Danio rerio: one gene and its partners. The main gene of each other region encodes a partner of the protein of the gene in region 2 in a complex. Links are inferred from orthologs where the notes say so. Each region holds a gene or a part of one and is shown on either strand. Other genes may lie near its edges.

Region 1 (5,860 bases), on a different chromosome or scaffold from region 2:
ATCAAACATTGCTGTGGACAATTTCATCGCTTATGCTGAAAATAATGAATTTGATTATATAGATATTTATTGAATTTCCTTTTTTTTCATAAATGTATAGCTGGAAATTGTTTTACTCTGTCTTGGCTGTATACAGTACGTCTCCTTTACTTAGTGTATAGTCATCATGCCTGTGTATATTTGTTAGATGTAAAAACAATATTGTTCAGATTTTGTCACATGCCTAAAAACATGAATTGTATTGAATTAGATTTTTTTATATGACCGATATAAATGTATTTTATTTTACAGTTAGCATAGCTTTTTATTTGTATGTTTTTTTCAGTATTGTCTTGTTTTTCAAATGACATCTGTTTTTATTGTATAAGTTTTTACAGTAGCACTGTTCTGAAAAGAATGTAAATGCTGAAACTGATAGGTCGAATGTACTACTAAACAGGAGCATTAATCGTCTCCTTTACATTGTTCTATTTTTCTAGGATCATTTTAAAGAGCACAACAACTTTTCTGTGACCAGAATCATTTGTACACTTCAAAAGAAAAAATAGTGATTTTTTTTTTTTTCTTCTAAATGTTCCTATTTGTACAAGACAGTTTTTTAGGGATGAATAATAACTGTGATTTGTCAATACAATCATACTGATCGAAAGTTGTCTCATCTTTTTTCCACATGCAAATAAGCACAACACTAAATGTGAATGTATTACGACAAATGCCAACTAGTGAATAGTTTTGTTAGTTGAGTACATATTTGCTCAGAGAAAGAGATTGTGAGTAACTGTAAGTGGTGTTGTGAAATGTTGTGGTTCTGAATTTTGACCGCATTGCTTTTATAATAATTTCTTTAATAATAATCTCTTTCTGTCAGTAAAAAGTATTCAAATATCATGTTTAAAAAAAACAAAAAGAGTTAGAGTAGTTGTCTGATTTGTTGAGCACAAAAAAGTTGTATTTTCTTCAGGGGTCCAATATAAACATCAGGGGACAGGTTGAAATTAATAGTTTAATTCTGGTAGGACAGATTTTTACCTTGCTGGTTATAAAAGAATCTTAAAAATGCACAATATTAATCATTAAATCAGTTTTCTACCGTGCTAAAAACAAGAAGTGTTATGTTATATAAAGCTATGTGTATAATACATTTATTTTAGTAAATTCCATGGAATGTTTGCTTTGGTATATATTGCAAAATGAGTCAAAATGAGATGCATTAAATGCGTTTCAAACCAATTTTGTGATTTATGTGATATAAAAAATATAGGTGAAATAATGTATTTAAATGTATTCAAATTATTTTTATTCTAAATATGACTGACAAGTTTGTTTGGTAGAAAAATATTTTCTTTTCTTTAAGTAGGTTTCTTTGGTGAATGACAGTTCACCAATGTAGCGTTGTATTATACACTATATATATATATATATATATATATATATATATATATATATATATATATATATATATATTTTACCCATATACTCATGACAGCTTTTATTTGGCCTACCATCTCATCTGAAAAGAGAATGATGAGGAGCATTGAAGAGAATATTTTTTACAGAGATTGTCATTTTAAATTTAAAGTAATCTTTTTGTCTGTTTTATAGCAATTTAAAATTAAGCATTTAAATTAAATGTTGACAAGGAATCAGGTTTATAATAATGTAAATACTGTCTCTTGTTGAATAGAGGACAATGCACATTGTGGGCAAATTGATGCAAAAGCTTGACTTGTGTTGTTATTTGCCATTGAACTCCATTGTGTAATCAATGGAATTGTTTTTACTGTAATACGTTCATTATATTTATATATATTATCTTTTAAATTATACTGCATTAGTTAATATAAAGCAATGTTTTCTATTTATATATATATATATATATATATATATATATATATATATATATATATATATATATATATATATATATATATTAGGAATATAAATTAGGAAAATACCCATGTTGACCTTAACTGTTTGCTATATTTATCTTCTGCCCACAGCCCTCAATCAAGTATAGTTTTGGGCCCTTTATGAGAAAAAGTGCTGTATTATATCGTAATAAATACTAATTTAGCTAAAATACTGTGACTTTAATCTAAATTCTAACGTTACCTCCATCACAGCACTGTAAGGGGACATTTAACTACCCCTGAAAAGAAATCTGCTTCCCCTGGCTGGGCAAGCAGTGGGGCCGTGAACGGGGCGGGCTCTAGGACCCAGCGTTTGGGTAGTACAATAGAGCTGTTGTGTCGTGGTGAAGAGGGTGATTTCTGCTTTTGGGATATTGACAGTGGGACAGAAACCAGAAAAATACGGAAAACACCGGTATTTACTGCACCTCAGCGCTGCTGACTTGAAGACAGCCTTGCGGAGTCTATCGGCGCTCACGATCGTCCTGAAGCACAGCATTTTTGGATGTTAGGTAAGGGTGCATCTCGAACAATACTGCTCGTGTCTTCACACAGGGCTCAGTGTGCCAGTTCTCCAGGCTGAGGGGCCTGCTGCCTCCTACCATTCCTCCGAGAAGCGTTTTACGTCCTCATTATTCAACTAGGACAGTGTTGGTATCAGCGATATAATTATGTTTAGGTTAAACATTGCGAACGCGCACTGAACGCGGTTATATACGCACAGTCAGTGGTAATATGTCAGCACAGAGGGGATTGTAGTGACTGGAGAGGGTTCGTCATGTAGGGCGGCTCGAGTTTGGCGCCAAGGCCGTCAGGAACCCTCGCGTGTTCAGCAATGGAGGCCAGCAGCGGTTCATGCTCACACATGGGCACAGTGCTGCTGTTTGTGAGACAGCTAAGCGCTTCTGTTTACCATCCGGTTCTTTATTTAACGTTAACTGTGTGAACTTCTAGAGTTGATCTGTGCATTCAGCACGAGTAACGTTATAAACCTGAACCTTAGTTTAAGAAAATTAAAAGTGGACATATTTCTCCTCGTTGCATCATGCTTTGGGTTTACAAACAGGCGACGTGATGTTTAAATTGTTTTCTTTTGCATGGTGTTTATTAAAGGTGCATAGTTTTGCTTATTCGCTAAAATGCGTCGCTTTTCGTTCTGCATATGGATCTTGTAATGAAGCAACTTTGTTTTTAAAGCATTGCATAATGTTTTTGTCTTTAATGTTCGGTAAAGTAGCGAAATGTGTGATTTAACTGATAAAAATGAGTATGATAATGGAGTGTACTTTGTAAAATGTAATTATAGATGACAAAACATGCATTAACCCTGACGGTGGTAGGCGCACGGTGCATTAGAAAGTTTGGAACGGAAGTGTAGTTGTTGGAATTCGGGAATGCCCTCCTTGAGCTTCCGTTCCCCCCACTGCTTCCCGCGAAATCCCTGACCGCAGGCTTAAACGTGTGTGCTACTCGTCGAGCGTTTTTTCAGCATTATAAATGGACATTAACTAGGTAACATTTTTATTAATAAACATGCAAATGTAAATAATGCTTTGAAAATACAAAGAAGGTGTCGGAGGCGCGTTTGATTCAGTGAGTCGAGTCGTTTGATTCATTTGAAAAAAGAATTGTTCAGTGACTCTAGGTGCCATCATGAACAAGCTCCTTAAACTCGCATATTTAGAATAATTCTGTTAAGTTTTTAGTAATTTATATTTGATTGTAGAAATAAAAGAACACACATATAAATGAATTTTACTCTCCTTCACTCCAAGAATAAATGTTATTGCCGTCTGTAGTTCCTCAAGAACCCCATACATCTGTCAAACCTTTTTATTGCACACAGTTATGTATTAATTTTTTCTTCATTGTAGCTTTAGTGTAGATTAAAGTTTAATATAGGCAAAAGAAACTCGTCACCTTGCAGCTAATGATGATTTGTGTGTGATGAATGAATTACCAGTGCTGTTTTAACACCTTCACACACAGTGTGTTCTTCATGAGGTTGTATCTGATTATAAAATACCATCACATGTACACGCCAACAGTGAGCAAGTGCATTGAAGCATCCTTCTCAATGTTCAGTAAATTCCTTCACAAAATATTTTTGTTGTTTCTTTTGGTTTAGTCTTGAAATTAATTCTAAAATTGTCGTTATTTTTACACATGCACTATCTTTTTGCTCTCATTCAGTCAGTCAGCTGGTCACCAATAGTTTTATTGTTATTTTCAATTTTTCTTAAGTCTTTCTGGTTTATTTAGTTTATGCACAATATTTTGTCATTTATTAATGCTTTCATTTTCATTCATACAAAGTTTACTCCAGCTACACTTCTCTTTTAAATAACAATACAAGCCATTTTGAAAGCTGGAGGAAGAACACTGCATGTTGACCTCACAATGTATTTAAATGCACAAATTCAACATTTAGCACATCCAAAACATTACATTTTGCAGTCTACTCCACTTTACTGTGATGCTGCAGTTCATCTAAATCAGGGATGTCCAAACTCGGTCCTAGAGGGCCGATGTCCTGCATAGCTTAGCTCCAACTTGCTTCAACACACCTTCCTGGAAGTTTCTAGTATAGTTAGAAAGAGCTTGATTAGCTGGTTCAGGTATGTTTATTCGGGGTTGGAATTTAAATATGTAAGACAGCGGCCCTCCAGGACTAAATTTGGACACCCTTGATCTAAATGATCGCACCATGACATGTCAGTCTTCTATTGGTCACACCTCTTCATACGATATAGACCATTTTGAGGGATGTAAACTCAAACAATGGTCCCAATGTATTTCCTGTTTCACATTTTAATTTTCCATAGCTTCTGAGAATCTAAAAAGAGCCACACATTGATAAATAATGTTATGGTAGCTGTTTACCATTGATATATGATTGTATTGCCTCTTATTACAGTTATAAAATAGTTTGATAGCAAGTAGGAAATGTTCATGGGCCAATAACATGACCACATTGAAATGGTCTGTAAGTTTGTAGGGAGTTCACCAAACTTAAACTTTGTAACATAGCAAGTTAAATAACTCCCACACTTGAATACATATAAATAAGTCAGAGAAACTATCTCTTAAGCACATCGAAAACTACATAATTGTTTAAAAATATTTCCTCACTAGCAAACACCACAACTAATCACCAGTGAATCTAAAAGAGCCGTTCACAATCACATACATTTGAAAGATATCAAGAACGTTTAAAGCACCCTTTGTGAAAAGAAAAGCTTTCTTTAAATTAATATCTTCTTCATGTAATCATAAATGGAAACAAAGAACAATTATTATTGAGAGTGTAGGAGTTGAGTTTAGATTCATAGGTCGTTTTTAGAGTGAATTTCTTGCAGAGTCAGTAAATGGGACAGTTTCCTGGCACACTAGGTCAGTGTGAGGTGGCTGTGGGGGTGAAGTAGATTTAGCTGGGCTGATCTGTTAGTGTTGGGGGTGTGGGGTGGTCTTGTCTGGGCCAAGCATTGTGCTTTATCTTGGTGCAATAGGAGTGGGGGTTGCTTTTTAAACTGTGAATTATCTTTTTTTTTTGTCCTGCCATTTTGTGCCAGAACACCTAGATAAGATAGTCGGCCATTTGAATAAATGTTGAATAATGTCATTGTTATTATTATTTTTTTCCGACTTAGTCCCTTTTGTCATCTTGGGTCGCCACAGCGGAATGAACCGGCAACTTATCCAGCACACATTTTACGCAGCGGATGGCCTTCCAGCCGCAACCCATCACTGGGAAACACTCATACACTCCCATTCTCACACTTACACTACGGACAATTTAGCCTACCCAATTCACCTGTACCGCATGTCTTTGGACTTGTGGGGGAAACCCACGTGAATGCGGGGAGAACATGCAAACTCCACACAGCAATGCCAACTAACCCAGCTGAGGCTCGAACCAGCGACCTTCTTGCTGTGAGGCGACAGCACTA
Region 2 (5,417 bases):
GCATTTAGGAGTTACTTACTTCTGCTGGACGCAAAAGCTATTTAAATTAGTATGTAGGAAACAGGTAACCATTGACATCTACAGTATAGTATGAAAACAATTCATATAAATGTTAATAGCAAATGGTTACCGACATTCTTCAAATTGTCTTTGTGTTAAACAGAAGGAAGAAACTCAAACAGCTTTGAATAAGTGCACAGTGAGCGAGCGGAATAGTTATTGCTGCTGAATCAAAAAGTGTTATAATCTACACATTACATAGCTACATTGTATAACATAATTTATTCAGGTCAGTTTTGAATCTGAATTATTATTTTTTTTGCTTTGTGGTTAATAAAAATATCCGTAAACGGAGCAACAACATCATAAACATTCAACAATTTTCATTTCATTTTTCTCATTAATGAGAGGTTGCAGACCAGACAGAATATGATTTTAGTGAAATGCATTATGCAAAAATAAATTATAAGGGTTAATTAAATGGTTTATTTTTGTATTTCGTTTACAATTTGACAGGAAGTCAAGTTTTCTGATCAGCTGGTCTGCATTGTCAGAAAATTGTGTGAAGCGTGAGGTATTTCGGTTCATACCAGATCCTCTGATGCACGAGCCTGAGCTTTTCTGAAGAGCTCCAGATCATAATCACTGGTGATGTTCTCCAGCAATGGTTCGCGAGTGGTTCCATGCGTTTGTCTGTGCTCCTGATACAAATTAAAGATGTGAATGAATAACAAACATAAGCATCAACAACAATACAGTTTAAAAGACATAGTTCACCCAAAACTGTACATTTCATCATCATTCACTTGTCACAAACCTGTGTGAATTTCTTTCTTCTGTTGAACACAACATATATTTAGAAAAAAAAAAAAAAAACAGTAACCATTAACTTCCATAGTAGCAAAAACAAATACTATGGAAGACAATGGTTACAGGTTTTCAGCGTTATTCAAAGTATTTTCTTTTGTGTCATTAAGGTTAGAAAACACTCTAGGAAACAGTAGCTGCTTTTCTATCGACTAGTGGTGTAGTATATATCACAAATCTCATGGTTCGGATCACATTATCTTTTTTTTAGCCATGGATTGGACCATTTTTCGGATCATTCAAAACGGAGAAGACACAAATGTAATTTCCTTTCCATTTTTTCATTTTTTTTAACAAAAACAGTACTGCAAGACACTTTTGGTTTTAAAAAACAAAAAGTAGAACCAGTAAGTATGCTAAAAATATAACGCAGAAATAATCAGCTGAATTAAAATAAATTGTAAAATATTACTGTACTGTGAAAAATTCAGTGTTTCCACCACATGCTGATAACACAATGTATAAATCTAACATTATAGCTTGTACAACTCATACTTATTTTTAATCTCATTTTCGATAAATGATTCAGTTATTCACCTATAAAACTTTTTCATGCATCACTTTTGAAGAATTATCCAGTGGCTTATTTTGATGGCTGGTTGTCGCCACCTATTGTTCAAATAATGTGATTGCTGCCTACAACTTTAATTTTTGAGCGTCAAGTTAAATGCATATGATGGCGATTTTAATCTTTACCATAATCATCAGTGGTTTTATCTAAACTATAACTGTTCTCCCAATATTTCTGTTATTTGACTGGTCATAACTAACTCAAAAGACTAAGGACTGAATCTCTTTCTTGATTTTAGAATTTTTCAAACACATTTGAATGCAGCGAGTCAAAGGATTAATAAACATGCAAATCACCATCATTTATAATTTATGTTAATGATTAATCAATGCTGAATGCATTAATGCAGGCTAAACAAGCAGTGACAGAAGACACTTTTAATAACCTAAAAAACCCACCACACACAAATAACCTCCCACAACTTCTTCTGTCATCATTATATTTTACAGGAAACATAAATCCTTTCATACACGCGATTTGAATGATGCGAGATGTGATCTCTCCGCGATTGTTACATATTTAGAATTTAATCTACAGTGTTCCATGGGTTGTGATCCGTACGAATCAGCTATGATTTCTTACACCCCTACCATCCACTTATGTTTATGCACATTTTTGATTATCGCATAAAAACCCTGGATGGAAACAACAAGATGCGCATAAATTTTGAAAATGAGAAACAAACTTTTTATCCCATAAGAAAAAAACTTGCATAAACTACGATGGAAATTATGAAGGGCATTTACCGAATTAATTCCAGCATCAAAAAAAGTCACGTAATTTTGCCTCAACAGATCATGTGATAACAAAAATGAGTTGCAGATATAAAAAGGGGGGGTGCGCAAATTTTCCAAGCAGTGCGAGCGGAGAAGATTCTAAAAGAATGTGACAAATCGTGGACTATTTTGCGTAATAAACGAAAGAGCCTTAAGCAAAACTACATGGCTGTTAACTTGTTTTTACTATTTGGCGCCAGTTTATCAGGAAGTGACTATTTTGTCTTAGATGGAAACGGTGATGTAATCACAATTGTTTTATTCGATAGTCCAGTTTTGCACATTTAATTCACATCTTTGGATGAAAACATGGCTAATAATAACATTTCTGGGTGAACCATCTCTTTAATAATAATGGCATTAATATATTACCAATATTTGCTCTTGCACTCATGACAGTTCTGAGACATTCAATGCAAAAGTATGAGCTGTTGTTGTTAAAATGTAGTGAAATTCATTTATATATATATATTTTTTTTTTAAATATTATTGTTCATGCTGTGAAGTTTTCATGATGTGTAATGTATGAAATAATCACACTTACATGTATACACAGATGCACTCTGAAATATATTTCAGTAATCACAAAAAAAAAAAAAACACACAATTACCATGTACTTTTCCTTTTGGTCTTTACTCAGCCCAGAATCTCTCCTCTTCCTCATCTCAATGACTTTCTCTTTATATCGGACCTGTCTTGGAGTTGGTGCCTGTGGAAAACCAGGTCAAATGACTACTACATCACACTTTTTACTGCTTCATGCAGATAAAACTCTTTCAAGGTCAGCTCATCAGCCACACATGCACTGTAGTCACCGCAGGATTTATAGCTAGCAAACAATCACAACCCATCCTAAAAATAAAAAGCACCCAGCTGATGGCGTTAGGCGTTCAAGCAAACATCTCGCTTTAGTACAAAAGCATGCATGCACTTAAGAGACATTAACACACTTGTGCGATGTTTGTTTAGTGTTAAGAGAACATCTGTTTGGCGAGTACCTGATGTCGAGTAGCGTGCCTGTTCTCCTCGTTCTGCCCCTGACTGCGCTCTTCATCTTGTTTCTCACGCTCGATAGCCTTCACCTGATCGAGACCACACGAAGCACACAAAGATAAACAATAGGGAAGAGTTTAACAATTCAGAATAGGACAAAGTAACGCTTTTTGAAATTTAGGGGGCAACCAAAATGGTGTTTTAAATATTTTCAAACTCATATAAAAGGGTGCCAAAAGTACAATTTTAGGTGAGCCACTGCAGGCAAAGACACTTTTTTTTAAAAAACACCCGTAAATGACTGAGATTATGTATTTTTGAACCTAGTGTGCAGATTTTTATGTGTCTTTTATCACACTTGTATCTGCAATTACAATAAATATTTTTGTAAAATTATATTGTTTCACAAATTGATTTTTTTTCTCACAAAAATGAGTCAAATCTTCACTTATACTTTACAGTATTATTCATATATATATATATATATATATATATATATATATATATATATATATATATATATATATATATATATATATATATATATATATATATATATATATATATATATGACATATATATATATGTTTCCTGAAAGGTTTTACAGAGGGGTACTTTTATACATAATATGCTTGATTATATAAAACTGCTTTAAATATAAATAAAAGAAATTCGAAGAACAAACATTCTTTGGGTGTTTGAAGTATTTTATGAAATATGAAATGATAATATATACCCAAAATCGCTAAAATACTTTTGACTTCAATGCCAAAAAAGAAACAATTTTGCCTGAGTTTCTTTCCAGTATTATTTATATATTTGTTTTCTGAAAGATTTTTTAGAACTATGTTCATACATTATTAACTTGATTATATAAAATTTTTTTCAACAAAGAATTTTTACAATTTAAAAAAAAAAAATCCTGAATTATAAAATTATTAAAATTTATACCCAAAATCCCCAAAAAACTTTTGACTCTCATTCCAAAAAAATTATTATACCCCACTCTACAGTATTATTTATATATTTATTTATATATATATATATATATATATATATATATATATATATATATATATATATATATATATTTATTTATTTATATATATATATATATATATATATATATATATATATATATATATATATATATATATATATATATATATATATATATATATATATATATATATATACACACATACATGTTTTCTGAAAGATTTTACAAAGGTGTATAATCCTCCGTAATTCACTTGATTAAAACATTATTCAACAAAGAAACTTGAAAAACTTAAAATAAACTATTTGAGTGTTTGAAGTATTTTCTAAATTATAAAATGATCAAAAAATATACCAAAAGTTCTCTTAAAACTTTGACTCTAATGCCAATAAAAAGAAACAATAATTTTGACCCTGACTCTACAGTATTATTCAAATATTTTATTTTTGAAAGGTATGTTCATACATAAATTGCTGGTTTCTACAAAAAGGGTTTTTCGACAAATAAATTTGAAGATAAATGTTTTTTTTTTGGGTGTTTGAAGTATTTTATGAAATATGAAATGATAAAATATATACTCAAAATCCCCAATGCCAAAATAAACTATGATTTTGCCCCTGACTCTAATTACAATATTATTCATATATATGTTTTCTGCAATGTTTTATAGAGGGGTATGCTCATACATTATTAACTTGATTATATAAAACTTTTTTACAACAAAGAAATCAGAAAAATAAAACAAACACTTTGAGTGGTTCAAGTATTTTCTGAATTATGAAATGATAAAAATAAATACCCCCTAAAATAAATCCCCTAAAAACCTTTGACTCTAATGCCAAAAAAATATAATAAAATATTTTTTCCCAACTTTATTCGATGGTCAGATCTTTGTGCTAGAAATGTAGTCAAATTTGCACATATTTCGTCAAAAATAATGCCCAATTTCATTATTATTAAAAAATGTATCAAAAAATTTAATTTAATTTATAAACTGAGAAAAATTGGTGTTGTTTATGAATTCCTTTTTACCCTGTTTACCTGCAATGTCTTGTCTTATTAAAAGCAAAAAAACAACACAAACAAGCAATGCACAAAAAAAAAATCATCATTTTGTCTTCATCCAATGTTCTGATCTTTGTGCTACAAATGTATGTACATTTGCACATATTTAATAAAAAAAAAATGTCATTATCAAATAATAAAAAC
Region 3 (5,893 bases), on a different chromosome or scaffold from region 2:
GATTGGCTGTTTAGGATCTCACCGGACCACAGGCTCAGGAATGGTCTCCACGTTGGCTGGCACCTGAACGCCCTTCTCCCACTCCTGCCTCCAGGGGTCGCACAGAATGTAGAACTCGTCTGCGCTCAGCTGTGCTGAATCCGGCAACTTCATGGCTGTGATAAAGTCTGTCCGAAACACCTGAAAGAAGAACACAACTCAAGCACATCTATCTTGTTTCCACTGAATGATTTCTGAAGTAGGCGATACGGTGGCGCAGTAGGTAGTGCTGTCGCCTCACAGCAAGAAGGTCGCTGGTTTGAGCCTCGGCTGGGTCAGTTGGCGTTTCTGTGTGGAGTTTGCATGCTCTCCCTCATTCCACAGCGGAATGAACTGCCAACTTATCCAGCATATGTTTTGCACAGTGGATGCCCTTCCAGCTGCAACCCATCTCTGGAAAACATCCACACACACTCATTCACACACCTACACTATAGACAATTTAGCTCACCCAATTCCCCTATAGCGCATGTGTTTGGGAAACCGGAGCACCCGGAGGAAATCCACGCCAACACGGGGAGAACATGCAAACTCCACACAGAAACACCAACTGACCCATCCGAGGCTCAAACCAGAGACCTTTTTGCTGTGAGGCAACAGCACTGCCTACTGCGCCACCGCTTCATATGTGTTTTATACTCTAAATATTAAACACTTTCAGGAACTGAAGATGCTGATGAGCGTTAAACGCTTCATGTCCATTAATTTAAGAACTGCTGCTGTCTTTCTGGCGATCTGATTGGCCGGTTCTCACCTCAGACGGCCTCTTCTGCTCATGACGGACCCACGTGCTGCTGGTGCCAGTGTTCTTAGAGGAGCGGGACCAGGTGGTCACCTGACCTGCAGAAACACACAGGTACCATTCTCGCTTTAGAGGAGTGTGTGTGCGTGTGCTTGTCCTTGTGTGTGATCAATGTGTGCGTGTGTGTGTGTGTGTGTTTGTCAGTGTGTATCTGTGTCTGCTTGTCCGTGTGTCTCTTGTGTCTCTTGTGTGATCAGTGCGTGTGTGTGTTTGTGTATGTGTGTGTGTGTGTGTGTGTGTGTGTGTGTGCTTGTCTGTGTGTATCTGTGTGTGTGCGTGTAGGTGCTTGTGTTTTTTTGTGCTTATGTTTGAGCGTGTGTGTCTGTGTGTGTGTGTGTGTGTGTGTGTGTGTGTGTGTGTGTGTGTCAGCATTACTCACTGTCAGTGGTGTCAGAGTCGTTGCTGCTGGTGGAGTATTTCCTCCTCTTCATCTCACTCTCCATCTGTCAGGACAAGAGGATCACACTCATGAACGTGTGTGTGTGTGTGTGTGTGTTGATAGCTTTACTGGAAACAGTGTGACAGCAGGAAATAGTTCACCCAATTTTGACAGATTGATGTGTGCACTAGATTTATATTCATTCATTCATTTTCTTTTCAGATTAGTCCCTTTATTCATCAGGGGTCGCCACAGCGGAATGAACCGCCAACTTATCCAGCACATGTTTTACACAGCGGATTCACTTACAGCTGCAACCCATCTCTGTGAAACACCCAGACACACTGTCTGCTGCATGTGTTTGGACTGTGGGGGAAACCGAAGCACCCAGAGGAAACCCATGATAACACATGGAGAACATGCAAACTCCACACAGAAACACCAACTGACCCAGTCGGGGCTCGAACCCACATCCTTCTTGTTGTGAGGCAACAGCATTACCTACTGCGCCACTGCATCGCCACTAGATTTATATGTGTAAAATAATAGTCTAAAATACACAAGCACTCTTATTTTGAAATGTGTCTGCTTTGCTGTTGCTGGCTGCTCATTTAAAGCAAACCTGCAGCAGACAGATGCTCAAGACAGTTCTGGAGGGAATAATAATAGTAGAATAATAGTGAAGCATTATGATGACGGACAGACACACACTCACAGACTCACACACACACACACTCACGCACACACACAAACACACTCATTCATTCATTTTGAGGGGCATTTTTTCCTCCTTGAGAAAAAAGATCAGGTGCTCAAGCACACAGAGCCCCACCTGTGCACATTCCTGAAGACTCTTCTCATTTACTTTCATTGAATAAAAAATGCACATTTCAAAACAATTCACAGGACTTTTAAAGTTCTCATAAACCAGAAGCTGCAATCATTTTTCGCATTGTGAAGCAATTCCTAGACAAACTGAATATTAAATGAGAAAATAGTGGGCGTGGCTTGATTTTTATACTGCGACCTGATTGGCTGTAGTAAAGGATTTGGGGAGAGTTATTACAACCTAACAGACTCCTCCTCCTCACCATTTCCGTTGCCAAAACTGACCGCTGGGGGCGTGGTTAAGTATGCAAGCCCCGCCCGATACCTCAAACAGACCTAATCTTAGAATTTAACTGAAAACAAACAGGTAGTGCATTTGCATATTTCAATTTTAGATTACATGTTTTTCTTAATGACATGCAGATGAATTGTTCACCCAAAGACTAGCAATGTGAGCTAACAAAATAATTATGGTTAGTTTTGTTTTCAGTGTGGCTCACAAACATTTAAAGACAAAATAATAATAATAAAAATAATAATAATAATAATAATAATAATGTAAAAAATACTACACGTTTTCTAGACCACGCCCCGTGTGTGTGACGTCAAGCCGCCGTGTGCAGCTGAAGGGGGCGTGGTCGCTGACCTGCAGGGCTTGTTTGTGAAGCGCGTTTAGGCCACTCGCTCACTCCAAGCTGAGAAGTTGAGCAGCAGCAGCAGCAGTACTCCACACAGACTGAAGAGTTCAGCAAACAAATAAACCGCGAACGAGCCCGTACAAGCAGACAGAATTCAGGCAGCAAACGACCGACATGAGCATGAAACAACGGTCAAAAACTGCAGAAAAGGCACATTTTTTCGGCTTTACCTCTTCTGCGGAGAGAGGGTGTGATGGTGATGATGAAGATGATGATGGTGTCCTCGCAGAGATCAGAGGATCATCCGAGGCCACGCACCCTCCTCGGCCCCGATAAAAGTTACTGTGTGCGGCTGAGATGCCCGAGCCGACGGCATATTACAGCCGTCCTAAAACTGCCGCTTCAGAAAACAGCACAGCACGCTTCGTCATCCGCAAAACTGTTTCTGGTGTCCTCACATCCTGCGAAGTGAAGCTGTCGACACACAAGCGCGCTCCTCTTCACATTCTGCGTGTATTCCTGCGCGAAACACCAGCTCACACTTACAACTCTTTTGGCGCCATATTAATGACGTACCAAAAAATTTCCGTTAGCAGCGGGCGCAGGAGCCGAGCGTTGCGAGCGAGCGTCACGCACGGCGAGCGGGGGGAAACGGGCGAAAAAGCGCGTTGCGTTTACCTGTCAAGTTTGAAAATGTCCATCAAGACGCGAGCGTGAAGAAGAAAGTCTCCTCAAGCGAGCGCGCGGGGCGGTTCGCGAAAATAATCGACCATTTTACTGTGAATCCGATGGGGGGAGCCATGAACAAACAGCCGAGAGGAGGAAACACAACAAACATCCTCACTGTCAGCGCTGTTCCGGATCTCTCACACACACACACACACACACACCATCAGCGTCTCCAGATATGGCCATCTACAGTGTTTTAGAACCATACTGTAGTAAAGTGTGTATATTATAGTATTACAGCTCTGTTAATGAACGCTCCTGCATACTGTAGCATAGTGAACTGATAGACTACTGTATACTGTATAGTTTTACTACACCTTACCCACACTACAGCTGCTGAGAAAACTACTGTATTAGGTCATTTGTTTATAATACTATAGTTATCATAGCAACTAGATAGGAATCATCACAGTGTTTAGTTCAAACACTTTAGCTGTTCAAAAATATAGTTTTTAAACTATGAAACACTGGTCTATTTTTACATTAGGGATGGTTTAAATATTATTTACAACCCTTTGTTAAATGAATGTTCCAGCATACTGTATTAGTTACCTGATTACTGCAGTAAACTGGTGTATTGTAGTTTATAGTTGGGTTGTTGCTAGATGAGATTCAGATATCGCTGAAAGATCAGGAGAATTAAATTATTAAACTGCCCAGTTAATGTAACTTTTAAAGTCTACCCCAATCCTCACAGTCATGTAAAATTATGAAATATTGTACAGTGTCACAGAGAAGATTCTATATTGATGTGTGTATCTGCAGCTGTATCCCTTCTATTCTCCACCCTATAGTTGTAGTAAACTACAGTGTTTACTATAGTTGTGTTAACCACTACAGCAGATCAACTCAAGTGCTTTACTGTAGTGTGCTATTTTTGATATTTGGGATGTTTTAGACTTCTGCTTTTACAGATTAATATGTTTTCCTGGGTTTGTAAACTTTCAACATTTAGCACACTATAGGTATACGTCAATACAATACTATAGTACGTTATAGTAAACGCTGATGTTTATGAACCATACTGTAGTAAAGTGTGTATATTATATTATTTACAACTTTGCTATTGAATGCTCCAGCATACTGTAGTATTGACTAGTAACCTGTGGTGTTTATTATAGTTGCTGATAACTACAGTATTGGGTCATTTGTTCATGTGATCATAGTTGTGTTTTTATAGACTGATGACTGAGAAATGCGAGCTCTTCACTGTAGTATGCTTCAAATACACCAGTTTAAGGCCATTTTTACAGCTTAATTTTTTCTGGGTTTGTGGACATTTTACACATTTTGTATTTAAGTAAGTTTTATTTATATACACAGTTGAAGTCAGAATTATTAGACCGCTTGTTTATTTTTTCCCCCAATTTCTGATAAATGGAGAGCAGATTTCTCCAACACATTTCTAATCATAATGATGTTAATAACTCATCTCTTATAGCTGATTTATTTTCTCTCTGTCATGATGACAGTAAATAATATTAGACTAGATATTCTTCTAGACACTAGTGTTCAGCTTAAAGTGACATGTAAAGGCTTCGCTATAGGGTAACTGGGCAGGTTAGGGTAATTAGGCAAGTCATTGTAGAACGATGGTTCAAAAAAAATCTTAAAGAGGCTAATAATTTTGTCCTTAAAATGTAAAAAAAAAATTAAAAACTGCTTTTATTCTCGCTGGAATAAAATAAATCAGACTTTCTCCAAAAGAACAAATATTATCAGACATACTGTGAACATTTCCTGAATCTGTTCAACATCATTTGAAAAATATTTAAGGAAGAAAAAAATCTTAGGGGGCGAATAATTCTGACATTAACTATTGCATTTATACACATTTATTTATTTCTGATTAATCAATACTGTTAGAATCCCAAAAGCGAAATAAAGAGTTGCCAGTCTATATGGGTTTTTGCAGGGTATGTGTTGATTGATGAACTGATGGTCTTTCTGTTTGCTATCTCTTATTTGAAGTGAGCCCTGTGGGTTTCCCTACATATCTTAAGTTTAATGGTGAATGTTTCTACATTACAAAAAACATTTTCTTATAGAGTTACTCAGAGTTTTCTCTTGTTTCTAGTTCAAATATCTGAGAAATTTTAATTCTCAAGCTTGCCTGAGGACATTTTTGAACAATATGTCAAACAAAAATAAAAAATGCAGATAAAACATAACTTAATGAAGGTTTGAGCCTATAACATCCTCAATGTGTCAACCAAACACACACACACGCGCACACACACACACACACACACACACACAGATCTAATGAGTACTACAGTCAATAGTGTCACTGATACTTTCATAAAAATGTTATTTTATTTCCCTCATCACCCACCAGATATCCCTAAAGTCGCCCCATTTTTAGATTTTAAACCGACTGCAGTGACCTTTATGCTGAAGTAAAACTAAGAATAATCCATAAGCATATTTTCATAAACATCAGACTGGTCTAAAACTTGAGCAAACACTCAAAGAAGA

What was found.
Region 1: kat7b (region 2) and jade3 share a complex: the UniProt entries of both Homo sapiens proteins name them as parts of the HBO1 complex. The link is inferred for Danio rerio from reciprocal best matches to the Homo sapiens genes KAT7 and JADE3.
Region 3: kat7b (region 2) and jade2 share a complex: the UniProt entries of both Homo sapiens proteins name them as parts of the HBO1 complex. The link is inferred for Danio rerio from reciprocal best matches to the Homo sapiens genes KAT7 and JADE2.

Annotation. Positions count from the first base shown.
Region 1 is NC_133181.1:40,067,568-40,073,427, reverse strand, and holds the start of jade3 (protein Jade-3), read left to right. Parts: upstream 1-2,283; 5' UTR 2,284-2,422; intron 2,423-5,860. UniProt on the Homo sapiens protein: Scaffold subunit of some HBO1 complexes, which have a histone H4 acetyltransferase activity.
Region 2 is NC_133187.1:6,540,366-6,545,782, forward strand, and holds part of kat7b (histone acetyltransferase KAT7), read right to left. Parts: intron 3,298-5,417; coding exon 3,214-3,297; intron 2,925-3,213; coding exon 2,826-2,924; intron 702-2,825; coding exon 591-701; intron 1-590. UniProt on the Homo sapiens protein: Catalytic subunit of histone acetyltransferase HBO1 complexes, which specifically mediate acetylation of histone H3 at 'Lys-14' (H3K14ac), thereby regulating various processes, such as gene transcription, protein ubiquitination, immune regulation, stem cell pluripotent and self-renewal maintenance and embryonic development.
Region 3 is NC_133196.1:49,539,755-49,545,647, reverse strand, and holds the start of jade2 (E3 ubiquitin-protein ligase Jade-2), read right to left. Parts: upstream 3,578-5,893; 5' UTR 2,917-3,577; intron 1,285-2,916; coding exon 1,221-1,284; intron 880-1,220; coding exon 794-879; intron 181-793; coding exon 23-180; intron 1-22. UniProt on the Homo sapiens protein: Scaffold subunit of some HBO1 complexes, which have a histone H4 acetyltransferase activity. Acts as an E3 ubiquitin-protein ligase mediating the ubiquitination and subsequent proteasomal degradation of target protein histone demethylase KDM1A.